2 linked regions of the Coturnix japonica genome follow. The protein of the gene in region 1 purifies or fractionates together with the protein of each later gene. This does not show direct contact. Links are inferred from orthologs where the notes say so. Each region holds a gene or a part of one and is shown in the gene's direction. Other genes may lie near its edges.

The links. Proteins that work in one complex are often made in the same cells at the same time.
Region 2: the proteins of EYA2 (region 1) and ACAD9 purify together in Homo sapiens (affinity purification with mass spectrometry; 3 studies listed by BioGRID and IntAct, with this or other methods). This does not show direct contact. The link is inferred for Coturnix japonica from reciprocal best matches to the Homo sapiens genes EYA2 and ACAD9.

What each region holds. Positions count from the first base shown.
Region 1 is NC_029535.1:4,986,755-4,990,502, forward strand, and holds the start of EYA2 (eyes absent homolog 2), read left to right. Parts: upstream 1-1,086; 5' UTR 1,087-1,150; coding exon 1,151-1,221; intron 1,222-1,788; exon of another isoform or gene 1,789-2,980; intron 2,981-3,748. UniProt on the Homo sapiens protein: Functions both as protein phosphatase and as transcriptional coactivator for SIX1, and probably also for SIX2, SIX4 and SIX5.
Region 2 is NC_029527.1:3,516,379-3,520,126, reverse strand, and holds the start of ACAD9 (complex I assembly factor ACAD9, mitochondrial), read left to right. Parts: upstream 1-1,243; 5' UTR 1,244-1,362; coding exon 1,363-1,488; intron 1,489-2,535; coding exon 2,536-2,629; intron 2,630-3,748. UniProt on the Homo sapiens protein: As part of the MCIA complex, primarily participates in the assembly of the mitochondrial complex I and therefore plays a role in oxidative phosphorylation.

The sequences.
Region 1 (3,748 bases):
CTTCCTGAGGAAAGGGCTAGGTGTAATAAAAGCTGTCAAGGCAAGGGTTGGAGGCTCTCGTCCACTATTGAGCCAGAACAGGAGAGCTGCAGCCTGCCCTGAACAGCTGGAAAGAGGAGAGAAAAGAGGAAGAGCAGGGTGCAGAAGCAAAACACCCCGATGCCACCGTGGCCAGGCTGCTTCCCCAGCAAGCAGGTATGCTGGTGGGCAGGGGTGGATGTGTGCTACCTGTGTGCTGGGACGAGGCGAAGCACAAAGACACCCTTTGTGCTCTTTGGCTTTTCCGCCTCCATATGGTCACGGATGCAGCCTGATTCCTGCGGGGATGTTGGAGGCAGAAGCAGGATGGCGTGGGGTGGGGGGAGTTCAGCCCTGGCCACCAGGAGCTGTGCGATGCTCGTGTTGGTGGGAGCAGAGGGATGCTTTGTATGAGCGGGACTGCTCCTGCAGCTCTGCAGGTCTTGTGGTAGTGTGGGAGAGCGTGTAAAAAAACTTCCTCCAAATATTCTTTTAAAATTGAGGTTTAAAAATTGACACAGGAGTCGATGTTGTGTTCATATGCCCACGTTTTAAACCAAGAATCCCTCTTAAAAACATACAGCTAAACCTTAGTTGAGAGCATCAGGCCGGATAAAGCTGAAAGCAGAAAGCACGCTGAGGGAGTACCTGCTAGCAAGCGAAAGCACGGCCCGGCAAGTTAGAAAGCGCGGGGGAGCGCTGAGCACAGCAGGCAGAGCAGCGGGATCGCTCAGGGGGACACGTTGGTGACCGCACAAGAGGCTGCCCCGCGCTCCGGCCGGGCCCCGCGTCGTGCGGGAGCCGCTGCAAGCTCCTCCTCCGCCGGGCCGGGCAGCAGCGAGCGGCCGGACAGCTCCGAGGGCACAGGCTGCGAGGCGGCGCGGCCCCACGCGTGCGGTAGGTGCGGGGCGGGACGGCCGCCTGCGGGACTGTGCGCGGCTGTGCGGGGCCGGCGGCGCGGTGCGGGCTGCCCTGGGGCGGGCTCGCTGCGGGGAAGCAACAGGTCGGGCTCGCTGCGGACGGACCCTCGCGAGGTCACGCACCGCGGGGAAGCGCGGCGGGGAGGGGAGGGCGCGGCGCGGGGTGCGGAGCCGCCGCCCCGCTCCGCTCCGCTCCGCTCCTATCCGCGGGCATGCGCGCCTGCCTCGCACATGCTCACTGCGCCCGCGGCGGGCGCGCACACTCCGCAGCGCTGCGGCTCCGGTGAGTACGGGCGGGGGAACGACGGTCCGCTGCCCGCCCCGCACCCGCGGATGGGCTGGAGGCGGCGGGTTCCGTGAGCGGCTGCCCGCGTCCATCCCGCGTCCACGGACGGCGCGGAGCGGAGCGGGACGGGACCCGGAGCGGACGGCAGCGCCTGTCCCGGCCCCGCCGCTTCCCGCGGACGCGCTGCGGGGCGAAACGCGACAGCACGTCGGGTCGTACGGGCTGCGGCGGGGTTAATCGGTGCGGGTATTTGATGCGCTGCGGACCGTCCGGCTTTACCTTAAGCCAGCTTCGGTTAGTTATTCTATTGCAAACTGAAATGTGCGTTTAAATAAAGTTAGTTATGCTCTTTTTTTTTTTGCAATTGCTCCTGTGAGGAAAATTTCTCGAGTGATTGATGCGCTTGAAATACACTTTTTGGAGCGTTACGTTATGCCCGAGCGCAGCGAACAGCCGCTAACGGAAATTAGCGATGGAACACAGCTCCTGTGCTCGGACCTTTCGAATGGTGCTGTGTTCTGCAGGGTGAAAGTTTAGCTATTAAATGCGCACGGTTAACCAATAAACATTTAATCACATTTATTAACGGGAATTTTCTTCAGCACGGTATCAGATTCACACATCCCTTGACTTCGTTCAGGGCAATAGGAGTATCGCATTGTTTAGTCCTTCTCGTGCACTTTGTGATTTGCTGAGATCCTCCTTCTGTGCTGCTCTCTCCAGGAGGTTTTCCCCGGAACCTTTGGGGAAGCACGACGAATTGCTTTCTGCCCGCTGTGTGTGCTGGGGGATCTGGTGCCTAAAAGCTGGGCTCTATTCAAACTACAGCTCCTATGTGTAAGCTGATGTTTTGTAGCTCCTTCCACGCATCCCACGTTGCACTGTGGTTTGTGTTACATGTTGCTAAGTACGAGATAATTTTTCTCCTCGCCCCTTTTGCTTTGAATAAACTGTTTCTTCTCTAATACAAACCTGGATTATTAATTCTGCCTTGAAACTTAAGGCTCAAATATTATGGGCTTAAATATTACATACGTAAATAGGAAAGGCTTACCGTACAAATACCCTGAAAATACTTAGTGTTTGCAGCTTTGGAAACATTCCAAAACCTTTTGAAATATATGTTGAAAATTCACTTGCAATGATGCTACAGCAAATAACTTGAATTAATTATTCTGATTTGCATCTTAAGAAAAAGATAATAATAAATTTACTGTGTGATGCGAAATTAAGTTTTTGAGTCACATCATCCAGCCAGTTCTCATGCCTCTTTCTCTTCTATGTTCCCAACCAGCAGGTCAAAACATTTGGCCTAATAACAAGTGTGTACTCCTTTACTCCTTTGGTCTGAAGCCATCGTTCTTTCTATTTTGCTTTGCTTTGTTCAGCCCGCTCCCCTCAGCTCATTTTCTCTTACAGCACTACGTACAGACTCGATTCCCACGCCTCGCTAATGCTATCACCAGCATTTGGCTGAAAGGTTTGAAATGGGCTCCTGTTTCAAATATCTCGCAACCTTGGCAGTATTAAATTTCATTAGAAAAGCTTCATTAGGGAGAAATAAATATATTGTTGGTAATTCCCCCTTCATCATTAAGTCCCGCATTCGGTGTTCTGCATACAGACGCACCTTGACTGTACAAAGGGATTTGACTCACGTATTCATGAAGACCATGGTCTCAGAATAGCATTTTGAGAATCTCGTCTGTTCCTCTGCTGTTGTCCTTCCATAGCTGGCCAATGTGATGGATTTTTTCTGCAAAAGAAAATAGTTTCACTGTGAATCCTGCAAAAGTTAGTGGTATGTTAAAGCTCAAACCAGTGAGGTGCTCTGCTGAAGTCACCGTAGCTGCATTTGTGTGTCGGTGTGTGTAGGTGCAGGCTGCTGAGAAAGAAAACAATTAAAGAAGTCAGTAATTTTCTGCTGTCTTCCCGCCTGTTATTTATGATGTGTAGCAGTAAAGCAGCTATTCTGAATTCAGCTATAATTCTCGTCAGTAAGATTTGTTTCTTCTGTGCCAAATTTTGCAGTAACCAGATGGCTTTAAGGTGTCTTCAGCTGGAAAGCAAGCAAGAACAGTGCTGAAGACTAATTATTCCTTGCAGTAAATTTCTTCTGTAATAAATTCACAGGTTGTTAGACTTAATCTGTGGAAATGATTGTTAAGATTACTTGTGCAGTGAAAAATGCTTTTAAAATTCTGTTCCTTAAAAAAAAAAAAAAAGGTCTTAGAATGCCAGGAAAATGTTTCTGAGTTCACTTTGCCTTGTAGTAACTTTTATTAGGGATGAACCCTTCGGTTGCAAATTCAAATGCTTTCATAAACCATGGAACTCTGCAGTTTTAACATGATGAATTTTAATATATCCCAGAAGTTGAGGGCTCAATTTGTAGATAAACTGGGAAAACTTGTACGGCCCTTTCTGATGGATAGTTACTGTATGCATGTGTATTATGAACAGCGACAGTGAAACTGCTGTACTAAGAATCAAGTTCTTTTCATTACGCTTCACATTGTACTAC
Region 2 (3,748 bases), on another chromosome or scaffold:
CTTTGGCCAAGGGGAATAGAAAGTGAAAGTGCTGTGCGAGTGCTCTGAGTTAGGAGGTTACGTTATTCAGCAATGGTATCACAGTTACTCACGGCTGGAAATTCATTTCATAATTAGCACTGTGAAATTGTTTTTATTCGACTTTCAGACATGGATTTGCAATGTATTTGGATCCAGCAGTGCTAAAGACGTGCAGCCCTTCCTATGCACATGATTGTTGGACTGACCTGTCCTTCCTGCAGCCATACAAACCAGCAGTCCCTGTCCCTCACAGTTTCCCCATGTGCCTGGCACAGCTGTGCTGTAGGTCAGGCAAGGGAGCAGGAGATGAGAGCATGGTACCGTTTGTGCCAGTAGGAAAGGAATGCTGCACTGGGGGGGCAGGAGAAAGGAGCAGAGGAGCGTGACTTGTGCTGAATGCCTGACCTTGACAGGACTCCTGTGAGCATCCACCTCCTCCATAAGGTCACCAAATGCTCTTCATCCATTATTACTTTCACTTTACTGGCTACTATTTCTTCCCCAACAACAGAGCAAATTAAGTTGGTGAAACCCTTTTAATGAATACATCGCATAAGTTGTTCCTTGTTTGTATTAGAATACTTTAGAAAGTAAAGCGCTGAGATAATGTAGAGCTTCTAGAATGAGGATTGATAGAGTTAATTGTTGATTTGCCTGTAAGACGTGGGCAATCCCTTCCACTAACGCTGTGCATTTACTTCTTTTCCTCAGGTACTTATGGTAGCCACAGTCCAATATTCAGGATGCAGGATTACCTGGACAAACACATTACAATGCCACTGTTCATGTCTGTGTTTCCAGTGTGACATTGCTTCCACAGCAATTCACTGGGAACAGAAGTGGGAACACCAGATTCTGCTCTCACCTTTCACAGGATTTGAATTGTAAACCAACTTTCTTTAACATATTCAGAGTCAGGAGTGATTCTTCTTCAGTGAGTAAAGTACGCATCCCTCGATGAGTTATATGATTGAATAGCAGTTGTTAAGCAGTTACTGAAAGATAGAATAAAAAGGGAAAAAGAACAAACGAACCAGCTGTAGGGTAACGTTATGATAGTCGTTTGCTGATCCAAATATCTGTTGTATTAATTCCTTCTTATGAGAGCAGTTCTATGTGGAATAGGCTGAAATTGACATCGCTGCGCGGTCACTGTACAGCTGGCAGCGGGGCGGCCCTTATAGGAAGGCGGTGCGATGAACAGCAGCCTGGGAGCCGGCATTAGATGGCGGTGTGACACAGCAGGTCCCGCCCCTCGTTCTCGTTGCGTCTCAGCGCCTTCCGGGTCAGGCCGGTTCCGCCCCGTTCACTCACAGCCGCCCCGGTTCGGTCCGTGCTGCCATGAACGGGCTCTTGGTGCGCGCCCTGCGCGCTGCGCTGCCCGGACCCGCCGCCGTCCGCCGCCTGAGAACCGCAACGCCACGAGCGGCCTATGCCAAGGAGCTGTTCCTCGGGGAGCTGCGCAAGGTGAGCGCGGGGCTGCGGCCTCCGGAGCATGGAGACGGGCGGGGTCGGCACCGACAGGCGGGTGGGTCGGTGCTGGGCGGCTCCGTTGGGCTCCATAGGGCTCCTCGGGGTACTGGGCCGAGCGGCCCTCGGTCCGCGCGTGTGCGTGTGTGTGTGCGTGTGTGTGTGCGTGTGTGTGTGCGTGTGTGTGTGCGTGTGTGTGTGCGTGTGTGTGTGTGTGTGCTCCAGTGTGTGTGTGTGTGTGTGTGTCTCCTGCCAGTGTGTGTGTGTGTGTGTGTGTGAGCTCCAGTGTGTGTGTGTGAGCTCCTGTGTCAGCTCCTGTGTGAGTGTAACAACTAATAGTCTACCGAGATGAGTTTAACAACAAAGTACTGAGAGCTCGTGGAGCAGGGAGTTGGGTGAGTCGTGGTCAGACTCCATCCCGTTTAGTGCCTGTTGGTGCCTGTTTTCCCCTCGAGTTTTAATAGAGCGCTTCTGGGAAATGGTAGCATTTACCAGATCCAGGGAGATCCAAATGGGTTACAGCAGCCGGCACAGGTGATCCTGATGAGCTGCAACACAGCTGAGGCCTGCTCCATGGCACAGCAACCACTGCAAGAAGAAAGGGAGCTGACTCTGTAGCAGGATCTGTGTGACAGGATGAGAGCGAATGGTTTCAAATCAAAGGACAGATTTGGATTGGATATAAGGAAGAAGTTTTTCACTTCTGAGTGCTTCAACTGAGGCGCTGGCACGGAGCAGAGGCAGCGGTGCCCTGTCCCTGGGGATGTTCAAGGTCAGGCTGGGGCAGGCCCTGAGCGCTGTGTGGTTAACAACAGGTTTTTGTATCCTTAGAATCCTTGAAGGTTCTTGTTTCTGCTCAGTGTCCCTGATACACTTTGCTATGAAGCTTAGTCAAGTCCCATTTGCTGCATCAGATAAAATCCCTCAATGCTTTCCACAGTCCTGGATTTTCACAGCTTTTAGAGCCTGGTATTTAAGGACTCGTTCAGCTTTTCTTTCAGTTGCGTTAGTGATGCTTTTTGTTTTTGATGTCTATTGTTTTAGGAAGAAGTTTTCCCTTACCCAGAAATCAGCAATGAAGAACTGCAGGAGATCAACCAGTTTGTGGGACCTGTAGAAAAATTCTTTGCTGAAGAAGGTATCGTTATTAGTTTCTTACTCGTGTAAGTGCTTTAGTGGTTACAGAGTGGTTTAACTGTAGCAGTTAAATAAGATTGTTAATATATAAGTTACTTTATGCAGCACAGTGCTGCTGGTGATACAGGCATGTTAATTTATGGCTTCTGTGTATGGACGCTTTACTTGTTCTGTACTAAACCTACTGTCAGCAGATTTCACTGTAGATATTCATAAATGGTGCCTCTTTGAGAAGCAATGGAAAATAAAAAGTATTTATGTACACTCTTATTTTCAGAGTTGGAGTAGTAATTCTGTTTGGAAAAGCCCCATTAGCTGTATGCAATCCACATAGGGGCACAGGTGTTCCTTCTCTTATTGATGCAGTAGATTGATGCAGTTCTAGAACAGCTGTAGAAAATTGGTTCTTAAAAACAGCTCTGAGGTACCTGAAAGTGTCGTCTGAGATCTGCTGGCAAAGATAGAGGCCTGGATTGCTGGAGCTTGAAGAAGCTGCAATGTTATATGTGATGATTTATGAGATACAGGCAGTTTTAACAATAAAGCTGCAACGTTGCACAGCAACAATAAATTAATTTATGCAGGTTATGCATTATAGTTCTTTGCTTTGTTGGGAAATAACATTTGTTGAGTAAAAAAGTGGATATTTAAGGGAGAAATAAAACTATCAGATTATAAAGTCTGGACAGAAGGTAGGAATTGATTGTCTTTGTTTGCATTAATGGCTGTTTCTGCCTAATGATTAGGCCAGTCTGTGGGCTGCGATATAAAACAGATAAGGGGAGCAGCCGTAGGTGCTTGGAAACCTGATACGTATGGCTGGCACCGGGTAACCAAAGAAGTTCAGTTCAGCCATGGTTCTAAAGCCTGGCAGTCTGTGGTGTAGAGCTCTGGGTGGGAAGTTCCTTTAGGAACACACTGCTGCTTTTACAGTGACTTTTCTGAGTGCTCTCTGGCAAGGTGGCTGTCATCCCTTTTGCTGTATCCTCCACCCTTCCTCAGCTGCCTGCTGTGATGCTGGTGTATTTTCCCTGTCACTGTGCAGAACCGCTGTGGTCGTCCCCTAAGAATTTAAATGCCTCATAAGAACCAGAGTTGTGTAATGAGCCCATTTCCCAAT